7 linked regions of the Macaca mulatta genome follow. The protein of the gene in region 1 purifies or fractionates together with the protein of each later gene. This does not show direct contact. Links are inferred from orthologs where the notes say so. Each region holds a gene or a part of one and is shown in the gene's direction. Other genes may lie near its edges. The genes, in order: FUS, DDX5, HNRNPR, SNRPD1, ZNF326, HNRNPUL1 and SMARCA4.

Region 1 (4,135 bases):
TTGTTTCTCTAGAAGGAAAGGTCCAACCCTCAAAAGACCTTCCGGAATCCCGCTGAAAGTTAAGTTGGGAAGGAAAACCTGCATGCGTATGTATCAGGAATTAACGTCTTTTGTCTTGCTTTGTTCAGTAGTTTCAAATTGCCTTCTCCAGGCAAGGCTGATGAAAGTGCAAGTTGCAAGTTAATTTGAATTTTTCTTTCTGCTTTTGCTCTCACAGGAAGTGGAAAGGCAACCAAACACTCTAGCATTCATGCCACCAAAAAGAGGTTTTGCAGTTACAAGACCTGGATTCGAATCACGACTCCTCTTAGCTGCCCTGTAATCAGGCACAATTACTTGGGTCTCTGAGTCTCACTTTTCTTATGTAGAAAACGGAGATATGTTTACCTCCTTCGTAAGACTGATGAGAAGGAAATTATCTGTGCATTTTGAAACCACTTAAGCCTTGTACACGTTTTATTTCTGGGATCGCCACTGGTTCCCTGGTAGGGCTTCAGAAAAATAAAAAGGAGGTCCCTGAGCAAAGGCTGGGGGGCCCTTCATCTGAGGCCAACCCTCTCTTGTCCCAAGGATGGCCTGGACTGCTCCGCCCCGCGGCTCCCCAGGGGCAAAGCCGCGAGGGTCCGGGTGAGAGCCCAGTGCTGGACCAGCTCGGCGCTCAGGGGTCCCGGCCGAAATCCCTGCTGTCTTTCAGGTCAAACGTCATAATTCCCGAACCCCAGAAAGGCCGAAAAGCAAGGCAACCCCGAAAGACGACGAAGTCAACACCAGGGCGCAGGGCCAGTGTGCTGACGACGAGGGAGGCTGGAGCCGCGGGGACAAGGCGCCCCATACAGCGGCAAGAGGGCGGAGGGCAGGAGCTCGCCGTCCTGGGTGAAAGCGGGGCCCAGCGAAGAGGCCCGGCCACAGGAATGTCGGTTCCACCCCGCGACTCCCGGCGGTGACTCCAGTTTCGTCCCCAGCCGCCCGGCCCCGCCCCGCCCCGCCCCCAGCGGGCACTCAGGCCGTACCACTGTGCCTTCATGGGGGTGGAGTTAGATCGTGGGCTAGTCCTGCCGAGGAGAGAGGGGTTCTTCCCCCAAAAATATCATTATGTATAGTATTTGCATGATTCTAGTTAACTCGTTTCCCATCTGCATGCTCGGAACCTCTACCTACGCTAGGAAGGGGGCGGAGCGCTTTCCTGCCTCCCCCTGCTCTTCCGCGTTTGGTGCGCGCCTGCGCGGTGCGTAGGCGGCGGGACCTACTTAAGCTTCGACGCAGGAGGCGGGGCTGCTCAGTCCTCCAGGCGTCGGTGCTCTGCGTTGTTGGAATCTTGTTGCTTGCTTGGCTGTGCGCGCGTGCGCCGACATGGCCTCAAACGGTAGGTAAGGGCGCGAGGCGGCGGCGGCGTACCGGGCCGAGGCCTCCCACCTAGGCTTTTCATTTTCGGTGGGACCGGGGTGGCGATCCTGTGTGGGATTCTTTCGCGCCCCTGTGGCGGGAAACCGCGGAGAGGGGTAACTGGAGGAGGCTGGTGTCGCCATTTTGTTTCGCTCCTCTGGCCCTCGCGCGCGGGGCGGCAAGTCTTCTCTTCGCAGTCCGTTTGCTTGGGGTGGTCGTTGGGAGGGACGCTTCTTAGGGGCTTGAAGCATCAGGTGAGGGTGGAAAATGCCCGGTTTCCGTGGCCTCGCCTCCCCCAACTCCCGGCCCCGCGCTCAGGCCCGCTTTGTCGCAGTGCTGCATCCGGGCACTCGCGGTGCGCACGCGCTCTGCGGGCCCCTCCCCCTTCGCGGTGCGGGTACCCCTTCCCCGCCTCGTGTCGGTTCAGCTTTTTGTCGCGAGACCCTTCGCGGAAGACTTGGCGGCGCGCGTCCGGTGTGAGCCTTGTTCCTCTGGTCTTTCGCGAAGGGGCGGGACAGCTCCATTCCCGCCTCGGTTGCCACGCGGCTGGGGGCGGAGGCTCGGTATCTGGGCCGCGCTCCGGCTTAACGGTTTGGAGGAGGTGGTCGTGGATCCACCAACGGACTCGGTGACCTGGCCCGAGAGTTTTTCCCGCCCCATTTTTTTTTTTTTTTTTGAGTCAAGATCTCCCTCTGTCGCCCAGGCTGGAGTGCAGTGGTGCGATCTCAGCTTGCTGCAATGTCCGCCTCCTGGGTTCAAGTGATTCTCCTGCCTCAGCCTCCTTAGTAGTTGGGATTACAGGCGCCTGCCACCACAGCCCGGCTAATCTTTGTGTTTTTTAGTAAAGACGGGGTTTCACCATGTTGGTCAGGCCCGTCTCGAATTGCTGGCCTCAGGTGATCCGCCCTTCTCGGCCTCCCGAAGTGTCGGGATTACAGGCGTGAGCTTCCGCTCCTGGTCTAAATTTCTTTTTTCTGAGATTGGGACGGAGAATAACAGCCGTCGAGGCCACACCCTCTCCTGGTCCTTTCCCTTTTCCTGCGGGGGAAGCGCCGCGTTTCCTGCGCTGGGAGGATGAGTTGATCTTGTTCGTGTATTTAAAGTGGGGCGTTTCAAAAGGGCTTTCGTTGCTTTTGGTTCGCCCGGGGGAAGGCAGGGTAGATGAGAAAACAGAACCATCTGGAGCCCCACGGCTGGGGACTCGAGTACCTGTTGACTTTGGCCTCTTAAGGCGAGCACTTGGATGATCTCTGTCATTTGGGGTCCAAGGGCTCTTGATTCTCTGGCTTTGCACTAAAAAGCCCACTACTTCTCCGGAATTGGTCAAAGAGTGAAGAATGGCCTTTTTTGAGACATTCTTCTGTGGGTCTGGGCTGAGAGAGTAGAGGCCACAATCTGAACACTGCTCGAATTCAAACCTGTGCTACTTGGTAGCTCTACGACTTTGGGAGCGAGTTAGTCTGTTTTGACTCCTGGCAATAATGGCTTTGTCATAGAGTGGATGAAGCGAATGCGCGATGTTTTAGAGCAATCACTGACATGAATTGGTCTTGCAGAAAGTTGTGGCTGTCCACCAAGACCTTGGTTTTTCCAACGGTTAAGGCTTCTGGGACTCTGTAGAAACTTGCATTTTCTTCACTTTTTCTTTTTTGTAAGAACACTTGGCTGATAGGCCAGTTTGCTACTCTTCTCAACCAGTGTCTCAATGGGGGAATTTTATGCCCTTTATTGAAACGTGATGCTTTTTTTTTTTTTTTTTTTTTTTTTGAGACGGAGTCTCGCTCTGTCGCCCACGCTGGAGTGCAGTGGCGCGATCTGCAACCTCTGTCTCACGGGTTCAAGCGATTCTTCTGCTTCAGCCTCCCAAATAGCTGGGATTACAGGCGTGCGCCACCATACCCGGCTAATTTTTTGTATTTTTATTAGCGATGGGGCTTCATGTTGGTTGGAATTCCTGACCCCAAGTGATCCATCCACCTCGGCCTCCCAAAGTGCTGGGATTATAGGCGTGAGCCACCGCACCTGGCCTGTGTGGTCCTATTTATTCATCAGTGCTTGAGTTAAGGAATTTAGCTTTAATTCAACTGTTTCAGAGTGGCGGCTGAAGATAATATGATTGTATTTTTTTTTTTTTTGCAGATTATACCCAACAAGCAACCCAAAGGTGAGTGCTGTTTTTGGGCTTCCAGAGTTTGTAGAGGGGAAGGGTGGTCAAGCTGTGTTTTCTGATCACGCTGGTTTTCCTTTCATCTAGCTATGGGGCCTACCCCACCCAGCCTGGGCAGGGCTATTCCCAGCAGAGCAGTCAGCCCTACGGACAGCAGAGTTACAGCGGTTACAGCCAGTCCACGGACACTTCAGGCTATGGCCAGAGCAGCTATTCTTCTTACGGCCAGAGCCAGAGCAGTGAGTCTTTCTCAGCAGGTCACCTCTTCCTGCTCTTTCTGAATATTGCTTTTCTTTTTTTTCTTTTTCTTTGGGAGACGGAGTCTCATCCTGTTGCCCAGGCTGGAGTGCAATGGTGCTATCTCAGCTCACTGCAACATCCGCCTCCCGGGTTCAAACAATTCCCCTGCCTCAGCCTCCTGAGTAGCTGGGATTACAGGCACCTGCTACCACGCCCTACTGATTTTTGTATTTTTAGTAGAGATGGGGTTTCACCATGTTCGATAGGCTGGTCTAGAACTCCTGACCTTGTGATCCACCTGCGTCAGTCTCCCAAAGTGCTGGGATTACAGGTGTGAGCCATCAC
Region 2 (4,196 bases), on another chromosome or scaffold:
CAACTGGCCAAACCATGACAACTGGTTTGTACGCAGTCCTAGTGAAAAGGATGAAAGCGTCCTAGACAACCAAATTAATTCGCTCTTCAAAAGCGGTGCTAGACAAAGCCCATGACTCTAGAGGGCACTGAAGAGAAAAAAGCACCACTATTCTTCTGTGGCAGGGGCATGAATAAACCTTAAGAGTGCCGTTCCTTTAAAGACCACTACAAAAGGAGGTACGACCTCAGGGCCCATAGTGCAAGGGAGGAGGGCACATGGACAGCGGCTAGACGCCCCACAGAAAGACAAGTCCGAGGACGACCCTTCTGACTGCTCTTTTTGCAGCCAGGACCCGAGCGTCCTACCGGCCTCGCCCCAGTGCCTCTCTCCCACCTCATACTGCTGTTCCACGGCCTCAAAGCGAAGAGGGGGTGAAGCTGAGAGACCCTATCCAGAGAACCCGCCACCGCGACGCAGCGTCTGACAGTAACGAGCCCCGCCGACACCCCAGACCCAGTCCGGGCTAGCCCGAGGCCTCCCTGAAGGTGGACAGTTTCAGTAAACACACACCGCGACCCCAGGGAAACACTCACCAGCCTCCGAGCGGGCCATGTCTCGGAAGCAGGTCGCCGCCGGACTCCGACGCTGCCAGACCGGCGACGGTGTCCTGCAAGGACCGAACGCAGAGCAGACGCTGGGGGGCGGGCGCACGAACTAAAGCGCGGGGAAGGAGGCGTGAAAGAGGGAGGGACGTTAAAAGAACTTCTCGCCGCTGATTGGTCATCAGAGGAGCACTTCCTTTCACAGCACGTGCCACGGAAGCGGTTTGGGAAGTTTAGAGACCATTCTCCGCCGGCCAAAACCCGTCACAGGATTGTCAGACCCGTGGGTCGGACGGTCCAAGTTAGCCGGCAGCTGGGGGCGGGTCCCGGGTGCTGGCAGCGCACTTCCGGTGAGCTATTTCGTTATGTATCCCTCCGCCGACGTCAACGGGGAAGTAGTGCGGCCCCCTGTCACGGTGGGCGGTGGGGGGGTAACGTCACGTGACAACGCCAGGCCCCCGCCTTCCCTCTCATTTGGTTACAGGCGTGAGGGCTCTTTGGAGACGTAAACACCTCCGAGTGGGGAGGGTGGGCGGGCTTGGGCTGGCTGTTTTATCGTCTGGCTGGGCTTGGGAAAGGGCAGGGTGGCTTTCTTGAGGTGTGGAAAGACGAGAAGAAGGTGAGGTCAAGAGAGTGGAGAATGAGGCATTTCAATGGTGGGTGGGCCCTGACCTGAGAGAGCGGCACGGGGTGGGGTGAAAGCGCGGCGATCGCGGAACGCCGGCGGGCGTTGCGGCCTCTGCGCGAGGGGCGGGGCGATTAGGTCATAGAGCGGCTCCCAGCGTGCCTTGCGGCGTAGGAGGAGGTCCAGACTATAAAAGCGGCTGCCGGAAAGCGGCCGGCACCTCATTCATTTCCACCGGTCTCTAGGTGTGCAGCTTTGGCTGGTGTCATCGCCGTCACTCCTCCGCTGCCGCCCCCGCAAGGCTTCGCCGTCGCCGAAGCCATTTCCAGCGACTCGTCGCACCCTTTTCTATCTACTTCGTTCCCCGCCAACCGCAACCATTGACGCTATGTCGGGTTATTCGAGTGACCGAGACCGCGGCCGGGATCGAGGGTGAGTGTGGGAGCCGAGTTGTCAGGGCTGGCGGGTGGGGGATGGGAGGGCGGGTCAGGGTGGCGGCGGGCCGGGGCTTTGCGGCTTGGACTCGGCCTTTCCGGGCTATCTTGGGGCCTCCTTTCCCGAAGGCTTGCGCCATTTTGATATTCACGTAACAGTGAGTGGGAGAGATTTGACGGGATAGTGTCTTCATCCTCGCTTTTTGTGTGGGGGTCGGGGAGCCGTCGGGGCGGCTGCCATTTGGTAGCTGTTGAGGGAATTCAGAGGGAGCGCATTGTTCGGATGAAAGCGCGACGCTTCGAGGCAGACGAAGGAACAGCTGTTAGGTGCGGCCTTTCGGGAGGTGTTTTTGGGGTGGTCGGGCATTCTGTGGGAGCGAAGGGACCACCTCCAAAGCCACTGGTGCTGTGGGGGTAGGAGGGCGGCCGGCATCAGCCATGTGGCTGAGTCGCGGGTATAAAATGCCGGCCTTGGACATGGCGGCGGCGCCTTTGTTACTCCGCCCGGCGGAGGAGCTCAAAATGGCAGCGTCGAGAAAATGTGGCGCAGAGAGAAATGCGAGACAAAGGGGGAAGCGCCGCCCCAGCGGGAACGCCGCCCGGCCGGCTCCGCCCGGGCCGGGACTCCTCCCCCGGTAGTCGCCGGCTCCTCCTTTTCTTTTTTCCTGCGTTATATAATTTTAATTCGTTGATCCGGAGCTCTACCGCGGCGTCCCCCCAGCTCGGTTTGCTAGCAGAAGTGTTTCTAAACCGTTGTTTCGTTTTCGTTGTCTGTGCTGTCTAGATTGTTGACATCAAAGCTCTTTGGCTTGAAAACGGCCATATGAGTAACATCGTTGTGATGCTCTTCGGTTCATGTAGGCTTGTTATCACTGATAATGAATTGCTAGACTGGTGAGAAAGATAATAGTAACCACAAGAAGTGGTGTGTAATACTAAATTCTGGCATCTGGGTGACAAGTTTTCGATATAGTAAATCCCAGGCTGTTTACGTGGCCTAAGTTGTGTGTACTTGGGACTACGGGAAACGTTAACTGTGGCTGTTGAGAGAGAGATTATCACTAAGGACAGTGCTAGGTTTACCTCTCGAAGTCGGCTTTCAGTGATCTTTAGCTTGTGCCAAGGGATGGTAAACAAATCTGTCCAGAAACCTAGGTGTAGCCATTTGAAAATGTAAATAACTTTTTTTCTTCATTCCAGGTTTGGTGCACCTCGATTTGGAGGAAGTAGGGCGGGGCCCTTATCTGGAAAGAAGTTTGGAAACCCTGGGGAGAAACTAGTTAAAAAGAAGTGGAATCTTGATGAGCTGCCCAAGTTTGAGAAGAATTTCTATCAAGAGCACCCTGATTTGGCTAGGCGGACAGCAGTGAGTAAATTCATGTGGCTTCATCAGGCTGTAACTCAATGGAGTCTAGTAAATGAAATTCTGACAGGTGTTTTGCAAATAACTCAATTTTGGTAGAGTTACGTTTTCTGACTTCGTAATTGGGAAAGGTGTGACTCACTTTTGCAAATAGGTGGCTTTGGGAATTTTTTTTTTTTAGATTGAGTATAGCAGAATAAACGGTTTTTTTGTCATATAGGGTTTTCATACGCGGTTCCAGATTAAAATGAAGCTACTTTAAACTAGTTACTAAATTATGAAGTTACGGGCTTGCCAATTACGTATTTAGTTAGGGGTGGTTGTCATGAGCTTTAAGACTGTTATAATTTGTTTTGCAGCAAGAGGTGGAAACATACAGAAGAAGCAAGGAAATTACAGTTAGAGGTCACAACTGCCCGAAGCCAGTTCTAAATTTTTATGAAGCTAATTTCCCTGGTGAGTGCTACTTTTCAGTTCTACCCTACCCCTGTGTTTTTGTTTTCACCTACCTCCTCCTTTCCTTGGCATCACTAATTTTTGTTAAATATCTGTCACTAATTATAGCAAATGTCATGGATGTTATTGCAAGACAGAATTTCACTGAACCCACTGCTATTCAAGCTCAGGGATGGCCAGTTGCTCTAAGTGGATTGGATATGGTTGGAGTGGCACAGACTGGATCTGGGAAAACATTGTCTGTAAGTTTGAGAGAACTCTTGATGTAATATGTGCAAGAAAACGGAATGCTAATTTAAAAACAAGAGTATTTTAATGTGATTTCTGTTTGTCCCCGTCTTCACCCCAAATAGTATTTGCTTCCTGCCATTGTCCACATCAATCATCAGCCATTCCTAGAGAGAGGCGATGGGCCCATTGTAAGTATATATTTTTAACTTTTTATTAGAAGTGTAATATATAGATTTTTAGACTACATAGCAAAAGATGTAATTATTTGTGGTGGTTTTATACAGAGGTTAGCTCACCCTATTCAGCTGGAGTTGCTTTGGGTATTGGACAACACATGAAGAAAGGATCTGCCATCATAACTAATAAGTTAATAGTTTAAAACTAGTATCCAGGTTTGTGCTGAAAGCTGTTTCTCTTTCCTTAGTGTTTGGTGCTGGCACCAACTCGGGAACTGGCCCAACAGGTGCAGCAAGTAGCTGCTGAATATTGTAGAGCATGTCGCT
Region 3 (4,120 bases), on another chromosome or scaffold:
AGCATGATGCCTTGGAAGTATTACAAGGTATAAAAATTAGCTGCTGTAAACACTAAATAGGTAATGAATATATTATAACTACTTAGTTTACCTCAGTTTGTGTACCTATGAAGGAAACTGAGTGGTGTACATGACTCATACAGTATTTGAGTAGATGTATTGTGATGAGGGTATGATTAGTTTTACCTTTATTTAATCATTTTAGAGTTAAAATAGCATTCACTATGTTTTACTGATTTCAGTAATTGTTAGAGATATCTCTTGTGTATAATAGTTGATTTAGTCTTTGATGATAATAAGTATGAAGAAAGTATTTTCATATGGTATTTGGAACACAAAACCTGCTTTCTATTGACAATGGGTTCGGACTATCTTTAATGGGTGAAATTTTCAGTTTCTTTTTCTTGTTCATCTCTCCTTCCTTGAGGTGATGGGAAGCAAGACAAAACACTACTAAAATCTTTTTTATGTTACTGGGAAGATAGATCCAGAATGCTTAGTGACACAGGCATGGTTCTTTTTTGGCATGTTTGGTTGGTGGGATACTACCACCTCTAATTTGAGCATTTTTTGGTTTTGTTTTTTGCCCAGGGTGCTGCTTTTAAAACAGGCTTTCTAGAATCTCTGACTCGTTTATAGTTAATCGGCTTGCTCATTGATGATAGCTAATTAATGAGGCAGTATTGTTCATAAAATTCATAACTTGTCCAAGATCACAAACTCAGTAATAATCTGGCTTTGAAGTATGGAATCTTATCTGTTATACTGTTACACTCTTATCTGTTAATGTGTGGCGTCTGAAATTTTTACTGGTATAGAATGCAGATAACTAATAATTTTATGCTTTCCAAATATTCCTCCTGACTCAACTGGTTTTAAATAACTGGTTGTCCTGATGGAAAATATTTATAGGATGGTTTGCCAAGGAAGCCTATTAAATTATAAAATATCTAGTCCAGGAACTGGGAGTCACCAGGATGGTCGGGGCAGAGAGTAGATGTTTCATTTTTTAATTTATGCCAGGAAGCTTTTGTAAACTTGTTTAGTTGCTTTTACTGAAGCAGTACAGGGAAAATTGCAATCTTGAGGACTAGTTTCATTTTTGTCTAGATACTTATAAATCACTAATAGCTCGTTATAAATAGAACATTTTTTTATGTGTGCCCAGAGTGGGGAGAAAGGTATAGGGAAACAAAAAATAAAATATGAGGAGGTGACATTTTGTTACTGAGTACCTGAACCTTTTGATGTATGGCAGAGGTTGTTGGGTGGAACAACATGAACAAAGGGCTAGAACATGGAATGTTTGATTACTGCTTTCTACGTAATTGCTTGAGTCTTCATTAGTCCAGGCCTTTTCTGGCTCTGTACTTTAAACTGTTCAAGCAAAATACATTTCGAGTTAAGCATTGTGAGGGAAACCTAGGTTTTTTTGTGTTGGTATCTTGAATTTTACAGATAATCTCACTCTGTAACCTCATTTGTGCTTCAGATCCTTGAAATTTTTGTATAAGAACAGTGTAAGACCTGTATGTTGTATGCTACATGTTTATTTAAAAATTCTAATCCTGAAAAGTTAATCTTTGGTTCGTATTAATATTGGCATTTTTCCCTGGTATGGATTTGCTTCTTTGGTGTGGATTTGCTTCTTAGGTATGGCTTATCTTTTAAGGAGTTAGTTATTTGGAATTAAGGAGCAGCAATAGGTGGCAGCCCTTTTACCTTTTAAAATACAGTATCAGGAGGTAGGTTTTGTTCTAAATGTCATTTACATATAAAAAGATAAGGTCTAGGGAAACGTATTTTCTTTGTGTTTGTGTTTAACTTTCTGGCTAGATTCACCTTTTGGCCATTTAAAATAATTGTGCAGTAAATTATTAAGTATATTAAATGAGTCAAGTATGATAGCATGCACACTATATAAAACATATAGTTTTATATCATAAAATAAATTAATTTTTCAATTTTTTATAGGCTATGGATGAAATGAATGGCAAAGAAATAGAAGGGGAAGAAATTGAAATAGTCTTAGCCAAGCCACCAGACAAGAAAAGGAAAGAGCGCCAAGCTGCTAGACAGGCCTCCAGAAGCACTGCGTGAGTCTACCTTTTAGTAGATATGTCTTTGGACAAGGAATCTCCATTTGATAATGGAGATTGGATTAATAAAACACAATCAGAGTCTTGAAGCAAACTGATTTGTTTTTTCTTTTCTCCCTTCCCTCCTTTGCTAGGTATGAAGATTATTACTACCACCCTCCTCCTCGAATGCCACCTCCAATTAGAGGTCGGGGTCGTGGTGGGGGGAGAGGTGGATATGGCTACCCTCCAGATTACTATGGCTATGAAGATTACTATGATGATTACTATGGTTATGATTATCACGACTATCGTGGAGGCTATGAAGATCCCTACTACGGCTATGATGATGGCTATGCAGTAAGAGGAAGAGGAGGAGGAAGGGGAGGGCGAGGTGCTCCACCACCACCAAGGGGGAGGGGAGCACCACCTCCAAGAGGTAGAGCTGGCTATTCACAGAGGGGGGCACCTTTGGGACCACCAAGAGGCTCTAGGGGTGGCAGAGGGGGTCCTGCTCAACAGCAGAGAGGCCGTGGTTCCCGTGGATCTCGGGGCAATCGTGGGGGCAATGTAGGAGGCAAGAGAAAGGCAGATGGGTACAACCAACCTGATTCCAAGCGTCGTCAGACCAACAACCAACAGAACTGGGGTTCCCAACCCATCGCTCAGCAGCCGCTTCAGCAAGGTGGTGACTATTCTGGTAACTATGGTTACAATAATGACAACCAGGAATTTTATCAGGATACTTATGGGCAACAGTGGAAGTAGACAAGTAAGGGCTTGAAAATGATACTGGCAAGATACGATTGGCTCTAGATCTACATTCTTCAAAAAAAAAAATTGGCTTAACTGTTTCATCTTTAAGTAGCATTTTGCTGCCATTTGTATTGGGCTGAAGAAATCACTATTGTGTATATACTCAAGTCTTTTTATTTTTCCTCTTTTCATAAATGCTCTTGGACATTATTGGGCTTGCAGAGTTCCCTTATTCTGGGGATTACAATGCTTTTATGGTTTCAGGCTTCATTTTAGCTTCAAAACAAGCTGGGCACACTGTTAAATCATGATTTTGCAGAACCTTTGGTTTTGGACAGTTTCATTTTTTTGGATTTGGGATAGATTACATAGGAGTATGGAGTATGCTGTAAATAAAAATACAAGCTAGTGCTTTGTCTTAGTAGTTTTAAGAAATTAAAGCAAACAAATTTAAGTTTTCTTGTATTGAAAATAACCTATGATTGTATGTTTTGCATTCCTAGAAGTAGGTTAACTGTGTTTTTAAATTGTTATAACTTCACACCTTTTTGAAATCTGCCCTACAAAATTTGTTTGGCTTAAACGTCAAAAGCCGTGACAATTTGTTCTTTGATGTGATTGTATTTCCAATTTCTTGTTCATGTAAGATTTCAATAAAACTAAAAAATCTATTCAAAACATTACCTATTTCAAATTCAATTGTGTCCTAAAACATTATTTTATTCGTAATCCTTGCAAGGAATATTGTTTTCAAAGTATAACTGCCTATGTGAGTGATCAAATTCATGCAAAATTTCTTGTCTATTCCAACATGTATTGTGGATATTAGACTGAGGATTAGTCTAAATTCAAGTATTTATTCCAATTAGCACTTCATTGATTGGTGTTCTCTCATAGTCTCTTCTAATTTTGAAATTTTATCTTTTATTTTTAAAAAAAAACAGGTTCATAGACTTTTGAGCATTCTTGCAGGCATTGGATAATTTGTGTTAAAACAAATAAAATGTGGCTGGGAAAGCAGACTGCAATCTATTTTGACCCACATTCTTTATAAGGGATAATTTGTGACTGAAGACCTTATTTGCTGGATAAGTGAATGTACATACAGGGAAAACTGTTAGTACTGTGGCGTCAATTGCACTGCGGACTTTAGTTTTAGTAAACGTGATTGTGACTACCATTTCAGTTACTGGTTTAGGAATATAATTTCCTATTACTATGTAAATTTGCTTTGAGAAACATTCATGCCTTGTAAGAGAGGCTTAAAAATATCCAGTAGTAATACC
Region 4 (4,284 bases), on another chromosome or scaffold:
ACAAAACAAAACAAAACAAACAAGAGTAGTTAGTGGGATAAGGAAAAAGGCCAGGTGAGCTTGGCATCCTGAAACCTGAAAGAGGTAAGGGGAGTGTTTGTGTTAAATCTTGATGAAGTTCACACCTGTAATCCTAGCACTTTGCACTTTGGGAGGCCTAGAGAGGCAGATCACTTGAGGTCAGGAGTTCAGGTCATCCTGGCCAACATGGGGAAACCCTGTCTCTACTAAAAAGACAATAATTAGCGGGGCGTGGTGATTCCCCCCTGTAATCTCAGTTACTGGAGAGGCTGAGGCACGAGAATCGCTTGAACCGGGGAGGCAAGGGTTGCAGTGAGCCAAGATCGTGCTACTGCACTCCAGCCTGGGCGACAGAAGGAGACTCTGTCTCAGAAAAACAATAAAAAATTTTGAGGAGATGTTGTGAAAGATGAAGATTGAAAAGTTTGTCTTATAGATCGGAACTTAAAGTGAAAATAATCCGCTACATTGTGTGATTTTATTTTTTTATTTTTATTATTTTTTGAGACGGAGTCTCGCTCTGTTGCCAGGCTGGAGTGCAGTGGCGCGATCTCGGCTCACCGCAACCTCCGCCTCCTGGGTTCAAGCGATTCTCCTGCCTCAGCCTCCCGAGTAACTGGGACTACAGGCGTGTGCCACCACGCCCAGCTAATTTTTGTATTTTTAGTAGAGACAGGGTTTCACCATGTTGGCCAGCACGGTCTTGATTTCTCGACCTCGCTATCTGCCCGCCTCGGACTCCCAAAGTGCTGGAATTACAGGCGTCAGCCACAGCGCCCGGCCCATTGTGTGAATTGCTTCAGGTACATTAAGTAATGCTAAGGTTCCTGGCGTTGGAACAGAATTAGCATAATCCTTTGGGCTTCTCTAAGAACTTATTTTCGTTCAGTGAGGAATTTATATTAGGTGCTGCACTCACGGTGCCCTGCTATTCAGAAACGTGATGGTGACAGTACGTGTGTGTGTGTGCGCGCGCGCGCGCGCGACGGAGTTTCGCTCTTGTTGCCCAGGCAGGAGTGTAGTGGTGCGATCTCGGCTTACTGCAACCTCTGCCTCCCGGGTTCAAGCGATTCTCCTGCCTCAGCCTCCCGAGTAGCTGGGATAACAGGCGCCCGCCACCACATCCGGCTAATTTTTTGTATTTTTAGTACAGACGCGGGTTTCACCCTATTGGCCAGGCTGGTCTTGAACTCCTGACCTCAGGTGATACCCCCGCTTCGGCCTCCCAAAGTGCGACAGTCCTATTAATTGGATTTAATCTCTTCGAATCTCCCTCTCTTGTGGGACACTTTTCCTCTTAGACCAGCCCTCAACACCCTCAGTCGTGGCAAGGCAACCTCCAGCCGCCAGGGGCCGCAGTCGCGCTCCTCGCGACCGGAAGAGAGTGCGGCCCAGCGCAGCCTCGGCGTTTCCGCCGTGCGTCTGCTGTGCTCCGCGCGCCCTTTACGACCGGAGTCCCTGGAGTAGGCGCTTCCGGCCATTCATACTGCAGTCGGTCAGTATTCGGTTGTTGGATTCTGTGCGCTCTCGGACCCGAAGGGTGACGGCGCCGCTAGGATGAAGCTCGTGAGGTGAGGGAGTGACCAAGCAGCTCCGGGGGCTGTGGAGGGAGGGCTTGGCCCGGAGTCCGGAAGGCTGGGCTCTCCCATTTGCAGGAGGCGGGAAAGCCGCGTGTGCGCGGCCTGCTAACGGCCGGCCTTACTGCGCCCGCAGCTCGTGCTCGGGCCTGGGCTTCCGCCTGGGTCGCTCGCGAATCCCGCGTGTCTTCCAAGATACTGGTATAAAGGCCGAGCCTTTTCTTCCCGCCTAGTGACTTAGAGACTTTCAAGGTACAGCGCCGCCTGGGAGACATCTCGCCCTTACAGTTACTGATTTTCTTTTTGAGTGGAGCTCCAGCCCTACTTAAGAGTACTTAGAAAGCTGTATGAGCTTATCTGGAAACAAACCTGTTTGCAAACTGTTTTAAATCAGAGAAGGACTTCTGGCTTCACAAGTTTTTGTTTTTGTTTTTGTTTTAAATAAGACGGTGTCTCACTTTGTTGACCAGGCTGGTCTCGAACTCCTGGGCTAAAGCGTTCTGCCTGCCTTGCCCTCCCAAAGGGCTGAGATTACCGGTGTGAGCCACTGCGCCCGGCCGATTTTTAAGTTTATCTTTTGATTCTCCTTAGACTTATGATTGATTATTCTACCTCTTTCCTGTTAAGGTAAGCTTTTTATTTAGGAAAATCTCCCAATATAGGGCAGAAATTATCACAACGTAATTGTGGCTGATTACCCAGATGATATATAGTTATTCTGTTTTATTTCTTTCGCGAGAAATAGACCCTGTCACTTAGGTGAGTCTTCTGGAGACTAATTCCAAACTACCTGCGAGTAGATTTGGTTTTGGTCTTTTTCCTTGAGACTGAGCCTGGAACAGAGGCAGACGTTTCTAATAACTAAGCCATCGATTATAAATATTTAGCTTGTTTCTTTCCTGTTGAGTCAAGGATTGTCATTATCCGCTAAATAGTTATTGGGCACCTGTTACCTACTGGGCGCTGGTAATAGTATTTTTTAAAAGGCAGATCCTTGTTGGAGCTTTCTAGTTAGGGGGATGACAGACAAGTAGATAACGTCTGAAATAACGTTTGTTTGAAACGTTTTAAATAACACATAAAAGCCTTCAATATTCAGGGAGGAGGCCAGGCGCAGTGGCTCACGCCTATAATCCCAGCACTTTGGGATGTCAAGGCGGGCAGATCACTAGGTCAGGAGTTCGAGACCAGCCTGACCAACATGGTGAAACCCCGTCTCTACTAAAATTACAAAAATTGGCCGGGCGTGGTGGCGCGCGCTTGTAATCCCAGCTACTGAGGAGGCTAAGGCAGGAGAATCGCTTGAACCCAGGAGGCAGAGGTTGCAGTGAGCTGAGATTGGCCACTACGCTCCAGCCTGGGCAACAGAGCGAGACTCCGTTGCAAAAATAAAAAAATAAAAAATAAAAAATTCAGGGAGGAGTTGGTACAAAAGACAATTAAGATTAATTTTTGTTGTATTTTTATTTGAACTATAATTTTGGATAGGAAGTCATAGAATTTAAAGTGCATTTTTTAGGCTGGACGCGGTGGCTCACGCCTGTAATCCCAGCACTTTGGGAAGCTGAGGCAGGCGGATCGCCTGAAGTCAGGAGTTCAGGACCTGCCTGGCCAACGTGGTGAAACCCCGTCTTTCGAAAAAATACAAAAATTAGCCGGGCGCCTGTAATCCCAGCTACTCAGGAGGCTGAGGTAAGAGAGGCGCTTGATCCCGGGAGGTTGTAGTGAGCCGACGTCACACCACTGTGCTCCAGCCTGGGCAACAGAGCGAGACTCTGTCTCAAAAAAGAAAATTACAACATTTTTTGAAATTTCTCCATACCAGCCGGGCGCGGTGGCTCAAGCCTGTAATCCCAGCACTTTGGGAGGCCGAGACGGGCGGATCACGAGGTCAGGAGATCGAGACCATCCTGGCTAACGCGGTGAAACCCCGTTTCTACTAAAAATACAAAAAACTAGCCGGGCGAGGTGGCGGGCGCCTGTAGTCCCAGCTACTCCGGAGGCTGAGGCAGGAGAATGGCGTGAACCTGGGAGGCGGAGCTTGCAGTGAGCTGAGATCCGGCCACTGCACTCCAGCCTGGGCTTCAGAGCAAGACTCCGTCTCAAAAAAAAAAAAAAAAAAAAAAAAAAAGAAATTTCTCCATACCTGCTAATCTGAATCTTAATCTACTCATAGTTCAATTTTATGTAATACACCTTGGATTTCATTTGTTCCCTTTAAATATATTGCATGTTATGGCAATTTTCCAGTAATTTTTAATACCTGGACTGAATCCTGTTTTGTGTCTTAGGTCAAATATAGAAAGAAAATTTTTTTCTTACCAGAGAATGTATTTTTCCTCCAGAAAATGATTGTTTGACTAACTGGTTTGCGTTTTCAGTAGACTTATTTCTGTATATCAGTTGGTAGTTGTCATCCTTATTCTCACTGTCACCCTAACCAAAAACCTGGGAGGTGAGCTTGACTTTTTCTCTACTGATGTCCTTGACATTTGATACACTGCCAGTTTTACCTACTGCATAAAAGTGTCCCACATTTTCCTGTTTGTTTTTTGGGTTCAGATAGTGTGTTTTGATACTGAGGGACACCGTGTTATCTGACTATTTGATATCTAAGTTTCACTAAGTAGAAAGAATTCAGATACTGAAAGATTCGTCTGAAAATAAGTTGAATCCATTTGGTTCC
Region 5 (3,636 bases), on another chromosome or scaffold:
TTGTATTTATTTGTGTATCACATTTGGGGAGGATAGTAATGAGGGATTTTTAAAGTACTTTATAGAAAACAAATTCTAAATGTTTGTTTTACTTTCTGATTTTTATAGTCATCCTAAATTGATTTTGTTACCTCTTTTGTTGTATTTATTTTTCATATCAGAGGTTGGTATATAGGCAGAATTGCAGTGTAATAAAATAGACAATATGCTTATTGTGTCTTAGTTTTTTTTTTTTTTTTTTTTAGTGTTCACATTGCTAGAAATTTGCATTCGTTTGTTGAGTCATCATTTATAGGCACAGTGCCATAGATTGGTCTCACTCTGTGATTTTACTTTTTAAAAATGTCTATTTCAATTACTGTGAACAAGGCTAATTGGAAACGTGGCTGCTTCTGAGTTTTCAGACATTTAGAGAGGAGTTAGATGCATAAAACAAGTATAGTCTACTGCTGTCATATAGAACAAAAATTTCCCCTTTGACATTATTAAATGCTGACTTCTCTTAAGAATAGGAATTATGTATCATTAATTATATATGCTATAGTACTTAATACAAGGCCTTATAGTAGTCCCCTAGTCAAATAAATATTGGTTAAATTGAAAATAATTCTGTGGCCAGGTGCAGTGACTCATGCCTGTAATCCCAGCACTTTGGGAGGCCAAGGCGGGTGGATTGTTTGAGCCCAGGAGCTCAAAACCAGCCTGGGCAACACGGTGAAAGCCCATCTCTATCAAAAATACAAAAATTAGCCAGTCTCATAACCAGTCTCAAAAGAAAATCAAAAAAGAAAATAATTCTAATGTAGAACTTTTAGTTGAAAATATGTTTTTCTTTGAAATATCAGGCTTTTTTTTTAAGCAAATTTGATTTAGTAGCTTCTCATCTTTGTGTTTTTCCCTTCAGCATTTAGTGTGAATTTAGTTTAAATGTTAATAGTAAATTATTATCTCAGGAGATAGATAGGAATATCTTGTGTTTTGTGCAAAGATCCCTGAAGAAAATGGTGTATTTTACTGACAATTTCTTATTGACTCTCTTTTAGGAATGGATCGTGATTATGGCCCTGGATCTTACGGAGGTCTGACATTCAAGGATATTTATCTAAAAATTCTTCTTTTGAGTGCCAGTAAAGGTGAGCATCATATAACTTTTTTCTTTTTAAACTCTTATAGGGATGGATCGTGACTATGGCCATGGATCCTATGGGGGTCAGAGATCCATGGAGTCCTACCTAAACCAGTCATATGGCATGGACAATCACAGTGGTGGTGGTGGGGGTAGCAGGTAAATTGCTTAATCATTTGGCCAAATAATTAGACAACTATAAGATTCTGGATATATTAAGTATTCTTTAGGCATGTTATGATACTTGAACTTCACTGTTTGCTATTGAATCATCACCTTAAATGTTTAAAGGTGTTAACTAATGGGATAAAATTTAAATCAGGATTACTGGCAGACATTATTTTAGGAAAACACCAGATAACTATATCATGTCAATACAATAGAGTAAGATACTCTGTTTTTAGCAGTGAACTTTTTAAAAATTCTTTTACTTCTAACTTCTTGTCAATCAAAATATCCTGAAAAATGATATAAAAATGTTATTGAAAATATTATTTATGAAGCTTTTTCTTAATAATTAAAAAAAATCTTTTCTAATGTGGGGTGCTATGTAAATTAGCAAAGCAGTCTAACTAGAATGGATTTTACTGAAACAGTCTAACATTTGCTTTCTAAGAAACATTCAAGACATATTCCTTTAATTCTAATTTTAAAGGAAGAGCATATTGCAATAATATAAATATTTTTAAAATTATGTTCAGGTTATTTATTGGCAGGTACTACTTACACCAAAGCATTTGTGCTCTAGGCTAGGAGCATTGTATTAAAGCCATGAATACTATACCTTTTACTAGTCTAGATTGTATTTATACTGTTACTACTGTATAAAGCTTAAACCTACTTAAACAACTACAAGCTTTAAGGTTGACCATATTTCAGGAGAAGGGGTGTCTGCTTTTTGAGGCACAAAGGTTCCTGCTGAATATAAGTAAAACTAGTTAGTAGACATGTGAAACAGTCATCCTTCTTCATAAATTGAAGGATCCGGATTCCTTAATGATGGACTGAATGATGCTTACTTTCCTTCTTTCTGCTTCCAGTGTGCCACTATGATTTATAGTAAAGAAAAATTAAGAAACTGAACAGTTGCAACTATTTTGCTTATGTGATAGATGTTTTGAAAAATGTAGTTGGAAATAGGAATAATTTTTATATGGTTACTAGGATTCAGAAGTAAATACTACCTTCTATTTAGTGATCTGTAAATAATTGAAGTAATGTAACACTTAATGTTTTAATATGTCAGTTATTGCCCTTTTATATTGTGAATGTAATGTGCATAAGCTATTTCTGTAGATGTTATTGTTTTATCTCATGTGTAATTGTGGGTCTTTATAAAATTGTGTTGTAAGATATCAAGCAACTTTTGTAATCCATGCTTTGGGTTTGTGAGAAGGAAGATGATTTATTTCTTCTGTTAACTCTCTTAAAACCTCGAGGAGACTGTGTGCTCCCTTTTTAAGGATAGTTTTATGTGATAATTTCCTGAAGGATATAATTTTTCAAATAATTGAATATATTATAAGATGTATTCTTTTTCATCTGCCTTGAAAATTCATATGCAGAGGGTATATGTTGGTGATCTTTTACTTTTATGTTTTATCTGTTTATCCTTCTAGATTTGTTAGATTTTCTAGTCTACAAGTAAAAAGTGATTGAGGATTGATTAATTGACCTTGGCTGAAGTTTGGCAGATTGTCAAATTTTTATAACCAGAGATAATTCCCCAAATTTTGACTCCTACAGACACAATGAAGCAGTTTGTGATATAGATTATTGGGAGTGCAAAAGGATCTCTCTGTGTCACAAATAACCTACATCTAAGTAGACTTCAGTTTGTGTCCTTATTGAAAGCCAAAATGTTGTAAATGTTTTGTAATTTTTAATAATAGAGATAGATTCAAAAACGTTTGAATAGTTTGTGAACTTTAGCAAATGACCTTTTCCAAGACTAGGGCTGGGCTTAAATAATGACAGACAAATCCTTTCTTTTTCATAAAATAGAAAAGCTGCTAAGAAGCAGATTTTTAAGCTAAGTTTTACTAAACTCAATTCATGTTTAGAATCTGACTCAGATAGCTTTCTATCTGGTCTCACGTTGAACTGCCCAGCCCTAATCAAGTGTGAACAAAAGTAGAACTGTGCAAACCAGTATGGTATAAATGAATTTTAGTTGATAAATGTCATCTGATAATTTGTCTTTTGAATTGTCTAACATTAGTAAGCTTACTTTTGTTTTTTCCCTCACTGTGCAACTTTTCCAGGTTTGGACCTTATGAGTCTTACGACTCCAGGTCTTCTCTGGGTGGGCGAGATCTGTACAGATCTGGCTATGGTTTTAATGAACCCGAACAAAGCCGCTTCGGAGGTAGTTATGGTGGTCGATTTGAGAGCTCCTACCGGAATAGCCTTGACTCTTTCGGAGGTAGAAACCAGGGCGGGTCTAGCTGGGAAGCACCTTACTCCCGTTCAAAATTGAGGCCTGGGTTTATGGAGGACAGAGGAAGAGA
Region 6 (3,636 bases), on another chromosome or scaffold:
ATCTGTGTTAGCCCTGGCCTGGCGAGGCCAGAGGGGCCCTCCACCAGAGGGAAGGCTGCTGCTGGGAGAGTCAGCAGCCAAATGGGCATGGGCTCCCCATCTGTGCATGCAGTGCACTGTGACCACCCAGACTGTCCAGGCAGGACCCTGAGTGTTAGTTAGACTCTACCTTTCTACCCTTCTTCCTCATTCCTGTACAGCAGAAACCAACAGTGTTAAGTCCCTTTTTTAGTGTTTTGGTAGGAAAATGAATATCATTTATAATTTAGGACACTGAAAAAAATGGGTCATCTCAAATTCTCTCAGATGTAGGATTTTAAGAAGCCTGGTACATGGATAGATAGTAATTATTGGGATTTATCTAGGCTCTTGCACATGCCCCTTCCTGGACAGCACCCTTTTGAGATACCACAGCCTCCAAACAGTAACGGAGATCAGTGTGGAAGTGGTTGTCAACATGCAGAGGGTATGGATTAGAATCTTAGGGTGTAAAAAAAGAGCAAAAAAGTTCCCTAAATGATTCTGATGCCCCCTTCAGCAGAGCATGCCCTCTCCAATCCCTGTCTCCACCCTAGGAGTTGATGGTCATTGCTCTCATTGCAAGGATGTATGGTTCCAGAGTTCTTTTGCCCACTTCTGTGGGAAGAAATGGAGATTCAGGAAGCAGTCTGGAGGCCACTTGTAGATTATAGCAGAACATTCATTTTCTTTCCTTTGTGCTCATGTATTGTTCTTGTGTGACTTAACCCCCGTTTCTAACACAGGGGCCGCTCTCCTCAGCCTCCTGCTGAAGAGGATGAAGATGACTTTGATGATACCCTTGTTGCTATTGACACCTGTAAGTCTTTGGAGTGCCCATCTAATTCTGCCTTATAGTCAGTATGGGGAAATTGTGTCTTGACCTTCACCAGAATCCCTGCCTGGCACCGTCCAAAGACATTGTTAGTCCACATGTGACACACAGCTTAGCTCTGGAGCAAGAGTCCTGGTTTGGAGGCAGAAGACCTACTCCCAACTCTAGCAGTGGGACCCTGGGCAAGTCATTCTACTTCTCTGAGCTTCCCTTCAGTTAATTCTGCCGTAATAACCTCAGAGGACTTTCAGGGAGACTCCTCAGTGGATACAGGAGCAATTTGGAAAACCCTGAACTGCCCTGTACACACAGAGGTTGTCATCTAATCAGGAAGGGAATCTGAGTGCTGCTGGGGAAACTTAACTCTTTTGACAACTAGTTCCCGTTTCCATCAGCTGCTCACGTTCTTGGTGAAACCAATGTCACTGTGTCCTCTGAGGCACAAACCTGGCCCACCCTGCTGTCTGTCCTCCACTTCAGCTTTCTTTCCACTGGATAAGTGGCTTTCACCTTTGCTGCGCATCTGAGCATTTGGAGGATTTCTTATAAAGGTCCTTTTCCTCAGACCTCCTAGTCAGAGTCTAATGAAGAGCCTGTGAATCTAAATTTTTATATGCACCCAGAAGCCCAGTCAGGTCTGAGAACACTGCACTTCTCAACAGAGCAGAAGATAAGCAGCAATTTATTCATCTATTTCTACAGAAGCTTATGTTTATAAAGCACTGGCTACATGCTTTTGTAAGAGATAAAGATATATACGGTCTCTAATATCGCAAGCTCTCAAAGACAAAATCTACCCAGAGTAGAGGTAAACATTGTTTAAAAAGTGTTGGGGGGCAGTGGTTCATGAGGCAGTGTCTGATGAAATGGAAATGTACCGACCACAGTGGTCAGCCTTCAGAGAAAGGAGAGTGCCTCATGGGAGGGATGGTCAGGAAAGGCTTTCTTGGAGGCATGACTGGTTGCTTGAATATTGAGAAGGGTAAGAGCAACAGTAGGAAAATCCTAGGCCTATGAGAGGAATTAGGAGCCTATGGGGCACCTGGGCATTGGTTCCTGGGTGGCAGGTGTGGATCAGGGTCAGATCCCTGTATAGCTGTTGGAAACAGAAGTCTGGTTCCCAACTTGATAGAATTAGCACAGAGGGCGGAATATATGGTGGTGGTGATCAACCTTTTTGTATTCTAAAATCTAGTTTGAGTCTGGGCAACATGGCAAAACCCTGTCTACGAAGAATATAAAAATCACCCGGGCATGGTGGCATATCCCTGTAGTCCCAGCTACTCAGGAGGCTGCAGTGGGAGGATGGCTTAAGCCCCCAAGATGTGTTCACTTGTGTACTCCTGGTCAGCACTTGGGGAACTTCCCTCTGCCTGTTTCTTAGGACTTTTAAAACATCAACCAGGTCGGGCATGGTGGCTCACGCCTGTAATCCCAGCATTTTGGGAGGCTGAGGCGGGCAGATCACCTGAGGTCAGGAGTTCGAGACCAGCCTGGCCAACATGGAGAAACCCTGTCTTTACTAAAAAATACAAAATTAGTCAGGTGTGGTGGTACATGCCTGTAATCCCAGCTACTCAGGAGGCTGAGGCAAGAGAATCGCTTGAACCTGGGAGGCAGAGGTTGGGGTGAGCCAAGATCACATCATTGCACTCCAGCCTGGGCAAAAAGAGCGAAACTCCGTCTCAACAAAACAAAAACATGAACCAACTGGGCTTTTTCCTTCACAGATAACTGCGACCTCCACTTCAAAGTGGCCCGAGATCGGAGTAGTGGCTATCCGCTCACAATTGAGGGCTTTGCCTACCTGTGGTCAGGAGCCCGTGCCAGCTATGGGGTCAGAAGGGGCCGTGTGTGCTTCGAGATGAAGGTGAGTAGGAACAAGAGAAGGGGAAGGTCAGAGAGGTCCGTCCATTGTAATATCCTGACACCAGCCACCTTGGTCAGAGCTACAACTGGAAAAGAGACTGGATCGTGCAATACTGTGTCCAAGCAGACAAAACTGTGATGAACTCAAGAGAACTACATCATTGCTAAATATCATATCAGAAAAGCAGGCCAACCATACATTGCTTCATCAAGCAGATATTTCCTTGGTGAGAGTTGACCCAGGTATTGTATAGTCAACCAGTGTAGTGATGACATGTTTGTAGAACTGAGAAAATACGTTGTTTGGAAGAAAAGTGATCTAGAAAGAATAGACTCAGGTGTCACTTAGTAAAGGGAGGCCAGAGGGAAAACAGGACAAAGAACTGCCAGCTTAGGCCAGCATCTGCTGTGATCTCTGCACCGTTCCATGTCAAGTTATGTTTATGAAAATAATACATGCTCATGTTTAACAAAAGTTTAGACAGCACAGAAGAGTACAGGATAAAACAGGTTATTCTCGCCGGGTGCGGTGGCTTACGCCTGTAATCCCAGCGCTTTGGGAGGCTGAGGCAGGTGAATCACGAGGTCAGGAGTTCAATACCAACCTGGCCAAGATGGTGAAACCCCGTCTCTACTAAAAATACAAAAAATTAGCCGGGCGTGGTGGTGGGCACCTGCAATCCTAGCTATTCGGGAGGCTGAGGCAGAGAATTGCTTGAACCCAAGAGGTGGAAGTTGCAGTGAGCCGAGATCATGCCGCTGCACTCCAGCCTGGGCGACAGAGTGAGACTGTCTAAAAACAAAAAAAAGCCCAGGTTATTCTCATGTCCTCTCAGTCTCCATCCTACTCCCTGGAGGGAACTTCTGTGTTAACAATTTCTTATCTATTTGTGTATCCATACTTACAGATGATA
Region 7 (3,636 bases), on another chromosome or scaffold:
GGGTGTGGGGCTGGCCCCAGTGAAGGGTGTGAGGGACAAGGGTGAGGCTGAGATCTGGAGGAGGTTGGCGCCCAAGGCGGGTGTGAGGGACACCCCTAGGTGAGAGGTGGGAGGTGGGCGGGGTCTGCCTGTCCCCAGGGCCTCGAGCAGCCCAGCAGCTTTCTGTTTCCAGCCTGGATGGGCCCCAGAGCTCAACACGATGCCCTGGCTCCTTGCCTCCTCCCAGGACCCATGGCGAATGCTGCTGCCCCCACGAGCACCCCTCAGAAACTGATCCCCCCGCAGCCAACGGGTCGCCCTTCCCCTGCGCCCCCTGCCGTCCCACCTGCCGCCTCGCCTGTGATGCCACCCCAGACCCAGTCACCCGGGCAGCCGGCCCAGCCCGCACCCATGGTGCCGCTGCACCAGAAGCAGAGCCGCATCACCCCCATCCAGAAGCCGCGGGGCCTCGACCCTGTGGAGATCCTGCAGGAGCGCGAGTACAGGTGAGGGCGTGGCCCCAGTTCCCATATGTCCCATATGTCCCCCTGGGGAAGCCACTCAACTTTCTCCCCCGCCTTAGGAAACAGTGCCCTGTGCCCACCGCTGCCACTTGGCCTACACCTCCTTCCTCACCTCCCTGCTCCCACTCTGGCTGCGGTCTGTTTCCCACACAGCAGTCTGAATTCTCTTTTTTTTTGAGATGGAATTTCACTCTTGTTGCCCACGCTGGAGTGTAATGGCGCGATCTCAGCTCACCACAACCTCCATCTCCCGGTTTCAAGCGATTCTCCTGCCTCAGTCTCCTGAGTAGCTGGGATTATAGGCATGCGCCACTGCGCCTGGCTAATTTTATATTTTTTTTAGTAGAGACAGGGTTTCTCCATGTTGGTCAGGCTGGTCTCAAACTCCTGACCTCAGGTGATCTGCCTGCCTTGGCCCCCCAAAGGGCTGGGATTATAGGCGTGAGCCACGTCGCCTGGCCTGAGTTCTCTTTTCACGATTGATTGACGTCAGATCTACTCCCTGGATTAAAACCTGCCTGTAACTCCAATTATCTGCCCAATAATCTTTGCCTTATGTCCACTCCTGCCCAGCATCCTTCCTCACCCACCCCACTCTCTCTGTTCCTCTTTTCATTTATTTAATAAGTTAGGCTTTTTCCTGCCCCAGGAACTTTGCACAGGCCGTGCTGGCTCCTTCTACTCATTCAGGCCTCATTGCTGGGATTCCCTCCTTCTGGAGGCCCTTCCCGTCACTTCCAGCCACTCTCTGGAATTGCAGTGGTTATTTTATTTTTTTAAATCTCTGTTATGGACTGTTTTTTCTAATGAGGCTGAGAGTTCCTTGACTTGCTGATCTTGTTTAGTGGTAAGGCCCTGCGCTCAAAATGGTCCCTGGCATACAGTTGGTGCTCAATGAGTATGTGCGGAAAGACTGATTAAGAGGATTAGTTCACATAACCTTCCTATGTAACCTTTGTAATCTTCAGACCACACCTCTAGGGTCTCTCCAAGGGGTCGCCTCAGTTTTGAGATGAGAATGCTGAGGTGTGCAGGTGAAGTAGATTCTCACGGCCCTGTGCCTCATCCATGCCAGGGCTGCATGAAAACCCCGGCCCACCTGATGCCAGAACCTGGCTCACACCACTGAACAGGCATGAACTGGGCGCGCCTATCAGGAATCTTGTTTGCTGCCCCCTAAGGCCCGGTCCTGAGGAGTGTCCCTGGCTGCCTCCCTCTCTGCTCTGCCCTGCGGCCAGCATCCTCTTCTGAGGCATCTCTTGCCTCATGACCAGCACCTTCCTTCCTCGAGGGATGGGTCCCCTGCAGCTCCAGCTATAACCGGGTGCCCTGGCAAGCCTCTCACTGCCTTTGCTCCTTCTCTTCTCTGCTCCCAGGCTGCAGGCTCGCATTGCACACCGAATTCAGGAACTTGAAAACCTTCCCGGGTCCCTGGCCGGGGATTTGCGAACCAAAGCGACCATTGAGCTCAAGGCCCTCAGGCTGCTGAACTTTCAGAGGCAGGTGGGTGCCGGCACGGCCGCAGCTTTCCAGGAAGGGCCTTTGTCACCAACACTTCTGTTAAGCCTCCAAGTATGGCTTGCTGGGCTGGTATTACACCTGCCTGGGCTGTGAAAAGCAGCTGTGGCCACCCATGGGCACTCATTCACTGCAGAACCTTCCTCTTGCGTCCTGCACAGTGCTGGAGACATGGACCTCTCTACCCTAAAGCACTTGCCTCTTGAAGCAGACTTGCAAGGGCTTCTTTCTTCCTTTTCTTTTCCTCCCTTTCCCTTTTTTTTTTTTTTTTTTTTTTTTTTTGGGAAACAGTCTTGCTCTGTCACCCAGGCTGGAGTGCAGTGGCACAATCTCTGCTCACTGCAGCCTCCGCTTCCCGGGATCAAGCAGTTCTCCTGCCTCAGCCTCTCAAGTAGCTGGGATTACAAGTGTGTGCTACCATGCGTAATTTTTATATTTTTAGTAGAGACAAGGTTTCACCATATTGGCCAGGCTGGTCGCAAACTCCTGACCTCAAATGATCTGCCTGCCTCGGCCTCCCAAAGTGCTGGGATTACAGGCATGAGCCACCATGTGCTGTCCCGCATGGGTCTATTTCTGAGGGTACTGTTCTTAGTGAGACCCTGGAGTGCAGTGGAGAGATCACAGCTCACTGCAAACTTGACCTCCCAGGCTCATGTCATCCTCCCACTTCAGCCTCCTGAGTAGCTGGGAGTATAAGCGTGCACCATTACACCTGGCGAATTTTTCCTTTTTTTGAAACAGAGTTTCACTCTGTTGCCCAGACTGGAGTGCAGTGATGCTATCTCGCCCCACTGCAGCCTCTGGCTCTGTGGTTCAAGTGATTTTCCTGTCTCAGCCACTGAGTAGCTGGGATTACAGGTGTGCACCACCATGCTGGGGTTATTTTTTTTTTATTTTTTATTTTTTTTGAGACAGAGTCTCACTCTAGCCCAGGCTGAAGTGCAGTGGCATGATCTTGGCTCACTACAACCTCTGCCTTCCAGGTTCAAGTGATTCTCCCACCTCAGCCTCCCGAGTAGCTGGGATTACAGGCACGTGCCACCACGCCTGGCTAATTTTTGTATTTTTGATAGAGACGGTGTTTCACCATGTTGGCCAGGCTGGTCTCGAACTCCTGACCTCAGGTGTTCCTCCTGCCTTGGCCTCCCAAAGTGCTGGGATTACAGGCGTGAGCCACCACGCTGGTTTTTGTGTTTTTAGTAGACTCAGGGTTTCTCCATGTTGCCCAGGCTGCTCTCGAACTCCTGAGCCCAAGCCATCCACCTGCCTCGGCCTCCCAAAGTGCTGGGATTATAGGCATGAGCCATTGCTCCTGGCCACCTAGTTAATTTTTCGGTTAGTTTTTGTAGAGGTGAAGTCTCACCATATTGCCCAGGTTGGTCTCAAACTCCTGGGCTTGAGCAGTCCTCCCACCTTGGCCTCCCAAAGTGTTGAGATTACTGGTGTTAAGCCACACACCCAGCCAAGGGTGCTGTACTTCTGAATGACTCCTAAGAAGCTGTGTGTGTGGTAGAGGGGGGCAAGCTGGAGGTCCAAGAGGACCCACTGGCTAGGTGTCCAGAAGTGATCACCTTCTGTCCTGTGCTCGCCCTGCCCAGGGACACCTATTAGA

The links.
Region 2: the proteins of FUS (region 1) and DDX5 purify together in Homo sapiens (affinity purification with mass spectrometry; 5 studies listed by BioGRID and IntAct, with this or other methods). This does not show direct contact. The link is inferred for Macaca mulatta from reciprocal best matches to the Homo sapiens genes FUS and DDX5.
Region 3: the proteins of FUS (region 1) and HNRNPR purify together in Homo sapiens (affinity purification with mass spectrometry; 4 studies listed by BioGRID and IntAct, with this or other methods). This does not show direct contact. The link is inferred for Macaca mulatta from reciprocal best matches to the Homo sapiens genes FUS and HNRNPR.
Region 4: the proteins of FUS (region 1) and SNRPD1 purify together in Homo sapiens (affinity purification with mass spectrometry; 3 studies listed by BioGRID and IntAct, with this or other methods). This does not show direct contact. The link is inferred for Macaca mulatta from reciprocal best matches to the Homo sapiens genes FUS and SNRPD1.
Region 5: the proteins of FUS (region 1) and ZNF326 purify together in Homo sapiens (affinity purification with mass spectrometry; 3 studies listed by BioGRID and IntAct, with this or other methods). This does not show direct contact. The link is inferred for Macaca mulatta from reciprocal best matches to the Homo sapiens genes FUS and ZNF326.
Region 6: the proteins of FUS (region 1) and HNRNPUL1 purify together in Homo sapiens (affinity purification with mass spectrometry; 3 studies listed by BioGRID and IntAct, with this or other methods). This does not show direct contact. The link is inferred for Macaca mulatta from reciprocal best matches to the Homo sapiens genes FUS and HNRNPUL1.
Region 7: the proteins of FUS (region 1) and SMARCA4 purify together in Homo sapiens (affinity purification with mass spectrometry; 3 studies listed by BioGRID, with this or other methods). This does not show direct contact. The link is inferred for Macaca mulatta from reciprocal best matches to the Homo sapiens genes FUS and SMARCA4.

The regions. Positions count from the first base shown.
Region 1 is NC_133425.1:29,823,061-29,827,195, forward strand, and holds the start of FUS (RNA-binding protein FUS), read left to right. Parts: upstream 1-1,274; 5' UTR 1,275-1,350; coding exon 1,351-1,363; coding exon of another isoform or gene 1,364-1,367; exon of another isoform or gene 1,368-1,753; intron 1,754-3,522; coding exon 3,523-3,547; intron 3,548-3,637; coding exon 3,638-3,807; intron 3,808-4,135. UniProt on the Homo sapiens protein: DNA/RNA-binding protein that plays a role in various cellular processes such as transcription regulation, RNA splicing, RNA transport, DNA repair and damage response. Binds to ssRNA containing the consensus sequence 5'-AGGUAA-3'.
Region 2 is NC_133421.1:74,403,401-74,407,596, reverse strand, and holds the start of DDX5 (probable ATP-dependent RNA helicase DDX5), read left to right. Parts: upstream 1-1,367; 5' UTR 1,368-1,597; coding exon 1,598-1,641; intron 1,642-1,663; exon of another isoform or gene 1,664-1,926; coding exon of another isoform or gene 1,927-1,970; intron 1,971-2,843; coding exon 2,844-3,009; intron 3,010-3,365; coding exon 3,366-3,462; intron 3,463-3,570; coding exon 3,571-3,704; intron 3,705-3,815; coding exon 3,816-3,881; intron 3,882-4,117; coding exon 4,118-4,196. Other genes in the region: CEP95 (centrosomal protein of 95 kDa), read right to left, coding at 576-594. UniProt on the Homo sapiens protein: Involved in the alternative regulation of pre-mRNA splicing; its RNA helicase activity is necessary for increasing tau exon 10 inclusion and occurs in a RBM4-dependent manner. Binds to the tau pre-mRNA in the stem-loop region downstream of exon 10.
Region 3 is NC_133406.1:217,695,313-217,699,432, forward strand, and holds the end of HNRNPR (heterogeneous nuclear ribonucleoprotein R), read left to right. Parts: intron 1-1,974; coding exon 1,975-2,096; intron 2,097-2,233; coding exon 2,234-2,846; 3' UTR 2,847-3,514; downstream 3,515-4,120. UniProt on the Homo sapiens protein: Component of ribonucleosomes, which are complexes of at least 20 other different heterogeneous nuclear ribonucleoproteins (hnRNP). hnRNP play an important role in processing of precursor mRNA in the nucleus.
Region 4 is NC_133423.1:70,797,254-70,801,537, reverse strand, and holds the start of SNRPD1 (small nuclear ribonucleoprotein Sm D1), read left to right. Parts: upstream 1-1,470; 5' UTR 1,471-1,578; coding exon 1,579-1,592; intron 1,593-4,284. UniProt on the Homo sapiens protein: Plays a role in pre-mRNA splicing as a core component of the spliceosomal U1, U2, U4 and U5 small nuclear ribonucleoproteins (snRNPs), the building blocks of the spliceosome.
Region 5 is NC_133406.1:150,632,188-150,635,823, reverse strand, and holds part of ZNF326 (DBIRD complex subunit ZNF326), read left to right. Parts: intron 1-1,043; coding exon 1,044-1,079; exon of another isoform or gene 1,080-1,133; intron 1,134-1,173; coding exon 1,174-1,285; intron 1,286-3,390; coding exon 3,391-3,636. UniProt on the Homo sapiens protein: Core component of the DBIRD complex, a multiprotein complex that acts at the interface between core mRNP particles and RNA polymerase II (RNAPII) and integrates transcript elongation with the regulation of alternative splicing: the DBIRD complex affects local transcript elongation rates and alternative splicing of a large set of exons embedded in (A + T)-rich DNA regions.
Region 6 is NC_133424.1:52,417,553-52,421,188, forward strand, and holds part of HNRNPUL1 (heterogeneous nuclear ribonucleoprotein U-like protein 1), read left to right. Parts: intron 1-764; coding exon 765-838; intron 839-2,506; exon of another isoform or gene 2,507-2,583; coding exon 2,584-2,723; exon of another isoform or gene 2,724-3,262; intron 3,263-3,636.
Region 7 is NC_133424.1:11,727,191-11,730,826, forward strand, and holds part of SMARCA4 (SWI/SNF-related matrix-associated actin-dependent regulator of chromatin subfamily A member 4), read left to right. Parts: intron 1-226; coding exon 227-485; intron 486-1,879; coding exon 1,880-2,006; intron 2,007-3,636. UniProt on the Homo sapiens protein: ATPase involved in transcriptional activation and repression of select genes by chromatin remodeling (alteration of DNA-nucleosome topology).